Callithrix jacchus: one gene and its partner. The main gene of each other region encodes a partner of the protein of the gene in region 2 in a complex. Links are inferred from orthologs where the notes say so. Each region holds a gene or a part of one and is shown on either strand. Other genes may lie near its edges.

What was found.
Region 1: the proteins of STAT2 (region 2) and IRF9 are in contact, whole or in part, in a crystal structure (PDB 5OEN), measured with the Mus musculus proteins. The link is inferred for Callithrix jacchus from reciprocal best matches to the Homo sapiens genes STAT2 and IRF9. Residues at the interface, in NP_064347.1 of Mus musculus: Arg163, Gln164, Lys166, Asp167, Glu168, Asp170, Val171, Phe174, Arg175, Thr177, Val178, Phe179, Leu181, Lys182, Asp188, His190, Gln191, Gln193, Gln194, Leu197, Thr201, Lys204, Met208; in NP_032420.1 of Mus musculus: Leu206, Leu208, Tyr212, Leu233, Asp234, Arg236, Ser244, Glu245, Ser246, Ser247, Met248, Asp270, Arg271, Leu274, Val275, Ala276, Asn278, Ser279, Arg280, Phe283, Val284, Gln285, Leu287, Cys313, Glu315.

Annotation. Positions count from the first base shown.
Region 1 is NC_133509.1:58,471,846-58,475,491, reverse strand, and holds the end of IRF9 (interferon regulatory factor 9), read right to left. Parts: coding exon 3,623-3,646; intron 3,328-3,622; coding exon of another isoform or gene 3,267-3,327; coding exon 3,185-3,266; intron 3,083-3,184; coding exon 3,011-3,082; intron 2,530-3,010; coding exon 2,188-2,529; intron 1,292-2,187; coding exon 1,176-1,291; intron 1,016-1,175; coding exon 941-1,015; 3' UTR 558-940; downstream 1-557.
Region 2 is NC_133510.1:63,281,347-63,285,059, reverse strand, and holds the start of STAT2 (signal transducer and activator of transcription 2), read right to left. Parts: upstream 2,880-3,713; 5' UTR 2,852-2,879; exon of another isoform or gene 2,645-2,851; intron 1-2,644. UniProt on the Homo sapiens protein: Signal transducer and activator of transcription that mediates signaling by type I interferons (IFN-alpha and IFN-beta).

The DNA of each region.
Region 1 (3,646 bases), on a different chromosome or scaffold from region 2:
CTCATGAAAAGCATGTTGGACATGGCAGTCTAGGCTGGAGTATCTTTTATGGGACTTAGAGCAAGGAATCCAGTTTGGGAGTACCCTGCTGGGGTGACAGCACAATTTGTGCTGGGGGAAGGGGTGCCAGGAACAGCAGGTACAGGTTTAGCAACTCTTCTGACTCCTCTATTCTCAGGCCCCAGGGCCTCTAGAACAGTTTTGGGTCACCCTCAAGTGTCTCCTCTTCAGACTTCTAGTCTAACCCCAGGCCCGATGTTGGTGCTCTTAGCAAGAACTGTGGAGCCCAGACTACCATGAGAAGTTGGTGGCTATAGTGCCTGGCTGAAGGCTCGGTGCCCTTTCAATGGCCAATCCCAACCCTCTCCCTAATCATGGCTGCCTAGAGAGTACCTCTGCAGAGTGCCAGGCCCAGGACCCACAGGGCCCAGACAGCATCTTAGCCAGAACCTGTGGGCAGAGGAGAGGAAAGAGCTTTGAAGATGTCAGAAGGAAGAAAACCCCAGTGTCCTGCTCATAAGTTTACATCTCTGTCTCCCAGAAAAATCAGATACTGATTCCTCTTTCAATAAAATTTTATTTTAAATCCTTAGTGAATAACTAAGAGGAAAATATAAAGTGCTTGGCTTTAGAGTTGGGAGGTCAGGAAAGAGGGAAAGATCCCTGGGTTCACACCGTTTGAATTTCTCAGTCCCTTACACATGAAAGAAGGTGTGTATCTCAAAATCCAAAAAATAAAAAATTTAAAAAAAGAAAGGACAAAATATTAGCCTTGAGTTCTCCACCAGCCAGTGTGTGCGAGGATTTTAAGGACACAACTATCACAGACAACCACTGAGAATTATCACGAGGAGGACAGGTCAATCATGTGAAGAATGAGTCTATTTCAAAGGAGACAGGCAGAACAAAGAAGTGAGGTGGAAGATGGGCTCCCCAGGCTCTACACCAGGGACAGAATGGCTGCCTGCTGCTCTGGAGTCTCCTCCAGTAAGTGTCGGGCAAAAGCCTGCTCCATCTGTATTGGAAGAGATGGAGAAGAGCGTCTCAGTGAGTGCATCAGGGACAGACACCACCCCCAGGAGCTCCTTCCCCACTGGGAGACCCCCTTCACCTCCTGGACCACCACTGCCCCTACTCTCATTAGATAGGCTACTCTGCCCCTGCTCTGAGCTCACCTTCACTGTGATAAGATTCTGTGGAGTATGGCTGGGGCCACAGCTCTCCTCCCAGAAATTCAGTGTTACCTGGAACTTGGGTGGGGGGCCCAGGCCCTGGAAGTACCTGGCCAAGTCTGAAAGAGAAAGGGTCAAGGGTTGGAAGGAGAAAAACAAGAGAGAGGGCCACAGGTTGGGAGGCAATAGTGAGGAACCCATGATGGAGATAGTTAGGAGGGGGGGTCCACATGGAGCCCCAGGCCAGAGCAGGAGCTGCAAGGTCAGGAGAAGTGCTCGGAACTAAATGCTACTCACCCATGTGCAAACGGGAAAGGGTGCCCCTGCCTCAAATAAGTGTTAGAAGTAGCAGATCACTGCACAACCTGAAAAGCTCTCTCTGCTGAGAGAGTTTAAGAGTCCTCCCAGGCCGCAGCCCTGGCTGCTAACACAGATGTGCCCAGACTTTTGCTGCTTGCTCATACCCTCTCAGTGCTAGGGTACCCATGGCCCTGGGAACACCCACACTCTATACCCCCTGTACTCCTGGCCCCACTCTTAAGTCAGATTTAGAATTGAGTAGGAACTGGAACTGGATAGGAGAGGGGGGCAACCCTAGGGCATTCCTGGAGTATAGTAGAGATGATGCAGCCAGAGCCAGAGGTATGATGTGTGCCAGCTCTCCCAAATGTGTGTACATAGGACAAGGCCATGAGGCTCACTCTGTGCCAATTCTTCTGTGCACCTTCACATAATGACTGCACGCTTCAGTGTGATGGTGTTCCCCAAGATGTGACACTCTTGTGCTGAGCTCTACCTGAACCTCCTCTTCCACTGTCTTGGCTGGAGAAGAGCTGCCATATAGCTGCCAGGCTGGGCATATGGCCAAACACGATGTGCACCACACAAGTGCAGGAGTGCCATGCATAGGCTACATGGAAGATCTGCTGGCAAACAGGGTGGTGGCAGGACCCACCAAGTTGGGCCCGGGGGGTACTAAGATAGGAGCTCAGGTGCCCAGTGAGAGCATCCTCACCTCTGCAGAAGTAGGCAGTTCTGAAGAGCTCCACACACTCGTTGCTGGGCAGCAGATGTGGGCCTGGCCCAGGTGGAGCCTGGGGTGCATTCCAGGAGATGGGGATGGGGCAAAGGCGCTGCACGAAGAGGCCTCGGGGGTTGCTGGCCACCAGGATGCCCCTCTCAAGCTGACTCAGTAGGCGCTGCGTGGGCTCCAGTGGGCCAGGCTTGGGGAATAACACCTGCTCCATGCTGCTCTCAGAGCCTGAGGGCTCAGCCACGAGGCGGCAGTCCAGGCTTTGCACCTGGGCCTCGCCCACCACGCGCCCGTTGTAGATGAAGGTGAGCAGCAGTGAGTAGTCTGGGGATAGAACAGTCTAGCTGTACCTGGTGCTGGAGGAGCATGCAGGCTGGTGGTAGCCCCTCCCCAGGGGAACATCTCCACTCCCCTCCCCTCACTGGCCAGGGGGCTTCCCCTCAGGTTTTCCCATCACTCAGGCAAGTAGCTAGTACTACTGAGTGATTCACCATGAGGCCTCAGGGCTTAATGCCCAGGGTCCTGTCATTTACAAGAAGGTCCCTTGAGACTGGGGCTCTGTTTGGCCCAAAGAAATTAGTGTCTCAGTGTGGATTTCCAGGAGAGTGTATAGGGTGGTATTTTTGGGAAGCAAGCTTTTTAGAGTCTGGCCAGGTATGTGGAATCTCACCACCTAGAAACAAGTGCCTTGGGCTATGATAAGATGGTCACAGTTTCCTGTAAGCCCTGACTGACTAGATAATGCATGTACGATCAAAGGAGGAAGGCCTCAGGAACACAGGAGAAAGTTAGAAATGTCACGTACCTGGCTCTGGAGGAAGTAGAAACTCCAGGGACACCTGATCCCCTTGTAAGGGGGCCTCAGTTGTATCTGTACCTGGAAGGGAAGCAAAGGCACTGGTCATTCAGAGTGGGGCTGGGGAGTCTTGGGCCAGAGTGTGTGACATGGTGGATGACACAAGAGGCAAGCAGGTGGTACCTTCCTGTGGTTCAGGGCTGCTGCTGCTGCTGCTGCTTCCGATGTCTGAATGGACTGCTCCCCCACTGGCTCCCTCCTCTTCCTGCAGACACAGTGTTTTTTCGCTTTTTTTTTTGAGACGGAGTCTCACTCTGTCACCCAGGCTGCAGTGCAATAGCGCAATCTCGGCTCATGGCAACCTCCACATCCCAGGTTCAAGCTATTCTCCTGCCTCAGTCTCCCGAGTAGCTGTGATTACAGGCAGCTGTCACTATGACCAGCTAATTTTTGGATTTTTAGTAGAGACAAGGTTTCACCATGTTGGTCAAGGCTGGTTTTGAACTCCTGACCTCAGACGATGTGCCCACCTTGGCCTCTGAAGATGCTTTCATTGGCCCACCTCTCCCTCTAGTTACTGTCCTGCTCTCAGGCCTGCCCAATTCCCTCTCCATCGCTCACATTATTGAGGGAGTCCTGGAGCAC
Region 2 (3,713 bases):
GCCTTGGCCACCCAAAGTGCTGGGATTACAGGCGTGAGTCACCACACCTGGCCTAATTTTCAAACACACTCTAGAGTGAATACCACAAGGATCACCATTCAACTTTAACATTGCTATTTCCACTATCTTATTTCATCTATCTGCCTAATTAATTTATTTTACATTTATGTGTTTATTTGTTGTTTATATTTGCTTATGCTAAAGCATTTAAAGATCAGTGTTGATATTAAGTATTTTTTACAGCATGATCTCTGCTGGCCCTGAAGCTTTTTTGTTTTTTTTCTGAGACGGAGTCTTGCTTTGTCACCCAGGCTGGAGTGCAGTGTCATGATCTCGGCTCGCTGCAAACTCCGCCTCCTGGGTTCAAGCAATTCTTCTGCTGGGCTTATAGGTGGCTTACAGTAAGTAGCTGGGCTTACAGGCGGCTGCCACCATGCCCCCCTAACTTTTGTATTTTTGGTAGAGATGGGGTTTCACCATGTTGTCCAGGCTGGTCTTGAACTTCTGACCTCAGGTGATCTGCCTACCTCGGCCTCCCAACGTGCTGGGATTACAGGTATGAGCTACCACACGCAGCCACTTGAAGCTTTTTTAGGAGCTAAATCTTTTTGGAGGTCAGGTAAGTATACCCTATAAACCACCTTCTATACAGGAAGGAGGAGTTCCATTCTAGAAAACATCTAAATGCTGTGCAATGGATTGCTCAATCCCTAAGAATATGACACTTTTAGGCTGGGCGTGGTGGCTCATGTCTATCATCCCAGCACTTTGGGAGGCTGAGGCGGGTGGATCATGAGGTCAAGGGATCGAGACCATCCTGGTCAACAAGGTGAAACCCCGTCTCTACTAAAAATGCAAAAATTAGCTGGGTGTGGTGGCGTTCGCCTGTAGTCCCAGCTACTTGGGAGGCTGAGGCAGGAGAATTGCTTGAACCCAGGAGGTGGACGTTGCGGTGAGCCAAGATTGCACCATTGCACTCCAGCCTGGGTAACAAAAGCAAAACTCCATCTCAAAAAAAAAAAAGAATATGACACTTTTATGACCTATGAATCTTGAATATGATTATGGGTTATCAACTTTGTGAGATCCTGATACTTTATGTAAATTTGTTTTTTTAGGCCAGGTGCCGTGGCTCACGCCTGTAATCCCAGCACTTTGAGAGGCCTAGGTGGGAGGATCACTTGAGGTCGGAAGTTCAAGACCAGTCTGGCCAACATGCCAACATGGTGAAACCCCATCTCTACTAAAAATACAAAAAAATTAGCAAGGCCTGGTGGTCGGCGCCTAATCCCAGCTACTCAAGAGGCTGAGGCAGGAGAATTGCTTGAACCCAGGAGACAGAGGTTGCAGTTAGTGGAGTTCATGCACGGTACTCCAGCCTGGGCAACAGAGCAAGACTTTGTCTCAGAAAAAAAAAAAAAAATGTTTTTTTTTTTCTTGCTTGTCACAAAGACAGGTTTGCCTGTCACCAAGCAGGCTGTGCCATGCATCTTTCTCCCCATCTTTCCCTGTTCGTTGACATCTGGTGTCTATTTAGGAAACTGAAACTTATACTTGTTGCAATCTGAGCCTAACAGAACAGAATTTATGCATGTTTGTGGTCTAAAAAGGTCACGTGATTTTATTACAAAGTAAAGAGAAATGCTTGGGGTAGGACAGTACTCTAACATAAATAACATCAGCTGCCTTTCTACCTCTGGAAGTAGAAACAAGGGAAAGGAGGGATTGTGCAGGGGCTATTTTCATTTTAAACCTTTTAGTAGTGCTTGATTTTTAAAACTATGTAACTGTATTGCTGTTATGATACAAAAAAATATAAGTTAAAAAAATGATTAGGTGGCCATGCGTGGTGGCTCATGCCTGTAATCCCAGCACTCTGGGAGGCCTACAAGACAGGAGGATAGCTTGAGCTTAGGAGTTTGAAATCAGCCTAGGCAACATAGTGAGCTTCCATCTCTTAAAAAAAATTTTTTTTTTAATGATGAGGTCTCAATTCTTGAGGATTTAAGTGTTTAGTATGAAACGCACAAGGAAGCAAAGATTCAAATATTAAAACAAAACAAAACAAAAAACCTAGTCTCCCCAAATGGATTGCAAACACTGAGGTTAAGGGCTGAGACAGTTTTTTCTCGTTATCTCTCACTCTCAGGCACATATTTTACACTCAAGAAGCTTTTCTGAAATGAACTGAATTTTGTGTGTGACCTTAGGTAATCGTTTTATCTTTCAGGAGCTTATACTTTTTTACGAAACAAATAAAGATGATAGATTCATCTATCTGTTTTTTTGTTTTGTTTTTGTGTTTCAGGTTAATCTATCTTTGGACATCGTTTATTTTGGTGAAGACAAAACATAATGCGGAGCAGAGGCAAAAACTTTGGTTCAGCTACCGAATCAACATAAGGCCAGATTCCGGGTCTCGGAAGCTTCAGGGGACTTTGGGGAGAGGGCCATTAGGGTTGGGGAGATAAGCTCGGCAGGAGAAGTTCAAAGACCGAGCCGGCGACAGCTCCTATTTCAACCTGGGGACAGAGGCTGCCCCCTCCAGGGCGTACGTAACCCCTGAGGCCAGTCGCCCTTCCCTGGGAGGAATTCTCACTCTCACCCCCACCCCTACCCCAGCACACACTCTCAGGGCCCGTACCTGATTAGGGGTGGCAGTCCCCGCGCCCTCCAGTGGCTCTGGTCGCGACTTCCCGTGCCTAGAGGGATCTCGGGTACTAGAGCCTCCCGCCCCGCCTACAAGTTCGGCCAACCCCCTCGGATCCGTCCCCTTGTAAGGTGGCCCTGAAGTCCGGAGCTGCCCCTTTCCCAGCCACCACCCCGACACTGCCATCAGTCAAGTCCTTACCAGACTGCTAGCTCATTGGCGCCGCCGCAATTCCGCCCCATCCGTGGGGCGGGACAAGCTGAGCCGAAACCACACCTCCAGTTCCAGCGATTGGTGGAGAAGCTCAAATAGGCGCTGCCTACGAGGGGAGGAGTCCAATTAGTGGACTAGCCCAAGACTGAAACAGCTGATTTTCGAGAACCCGCGCGTGGGCCAAGGAACCGAAACTAGCTTGAGGACTCTGGAGACGCCAAGGGCCCCATGGGAAGGGGTGGGACCGGAATTTCGACGTCTTGGGATAGGAAGAGGAGGGCTGAGGTAATGAAAACAATATTTTAAAAATAGTCTTTTATTTTTTGAGATATGGTCTCGCTCTGTCACCAGGGCTGGAGTGCAGTGGCAAGATCTTGGCTCACTGCAGCCTCGACCTTCCGGGCTCAGGTGATTCTCCCGGCTCAGCATCCCAGGTAGCTGGGACTACAAGCGTGCATCACTCCGCCAGGAAAATTTTTTATATTTATTGTAGAGATGTGGTTTCGCCATGTTGCCCAGGCTGGTTCTGAACTGCTGGGCTCAAATGATCCTCCCGCCTCGGTCTCTCAGTGCTGGAATTACAGACGTGAGCCACTGCACCTGGCTAATAGCTATTTATTGAGAGTACTGTGATAAGCCCCCCCTTTTTTTTTTTTTTTGAGACGGACTTTCGCTCTTGTTACCCAGGCTGGAGTGCAATGGCAGGATCTCGGCTCACCGCAACCTCCACCTCCTGGGTTCAAGCAATTCTCCTGCCTCAGTCTCCCGAGTAGCTGGGACTACAGGTGAGCACCTCCATGCCCAGCTAATTTTTGTATTTTTAGTAGAGACGGGGTTTCACCTTGTTGAC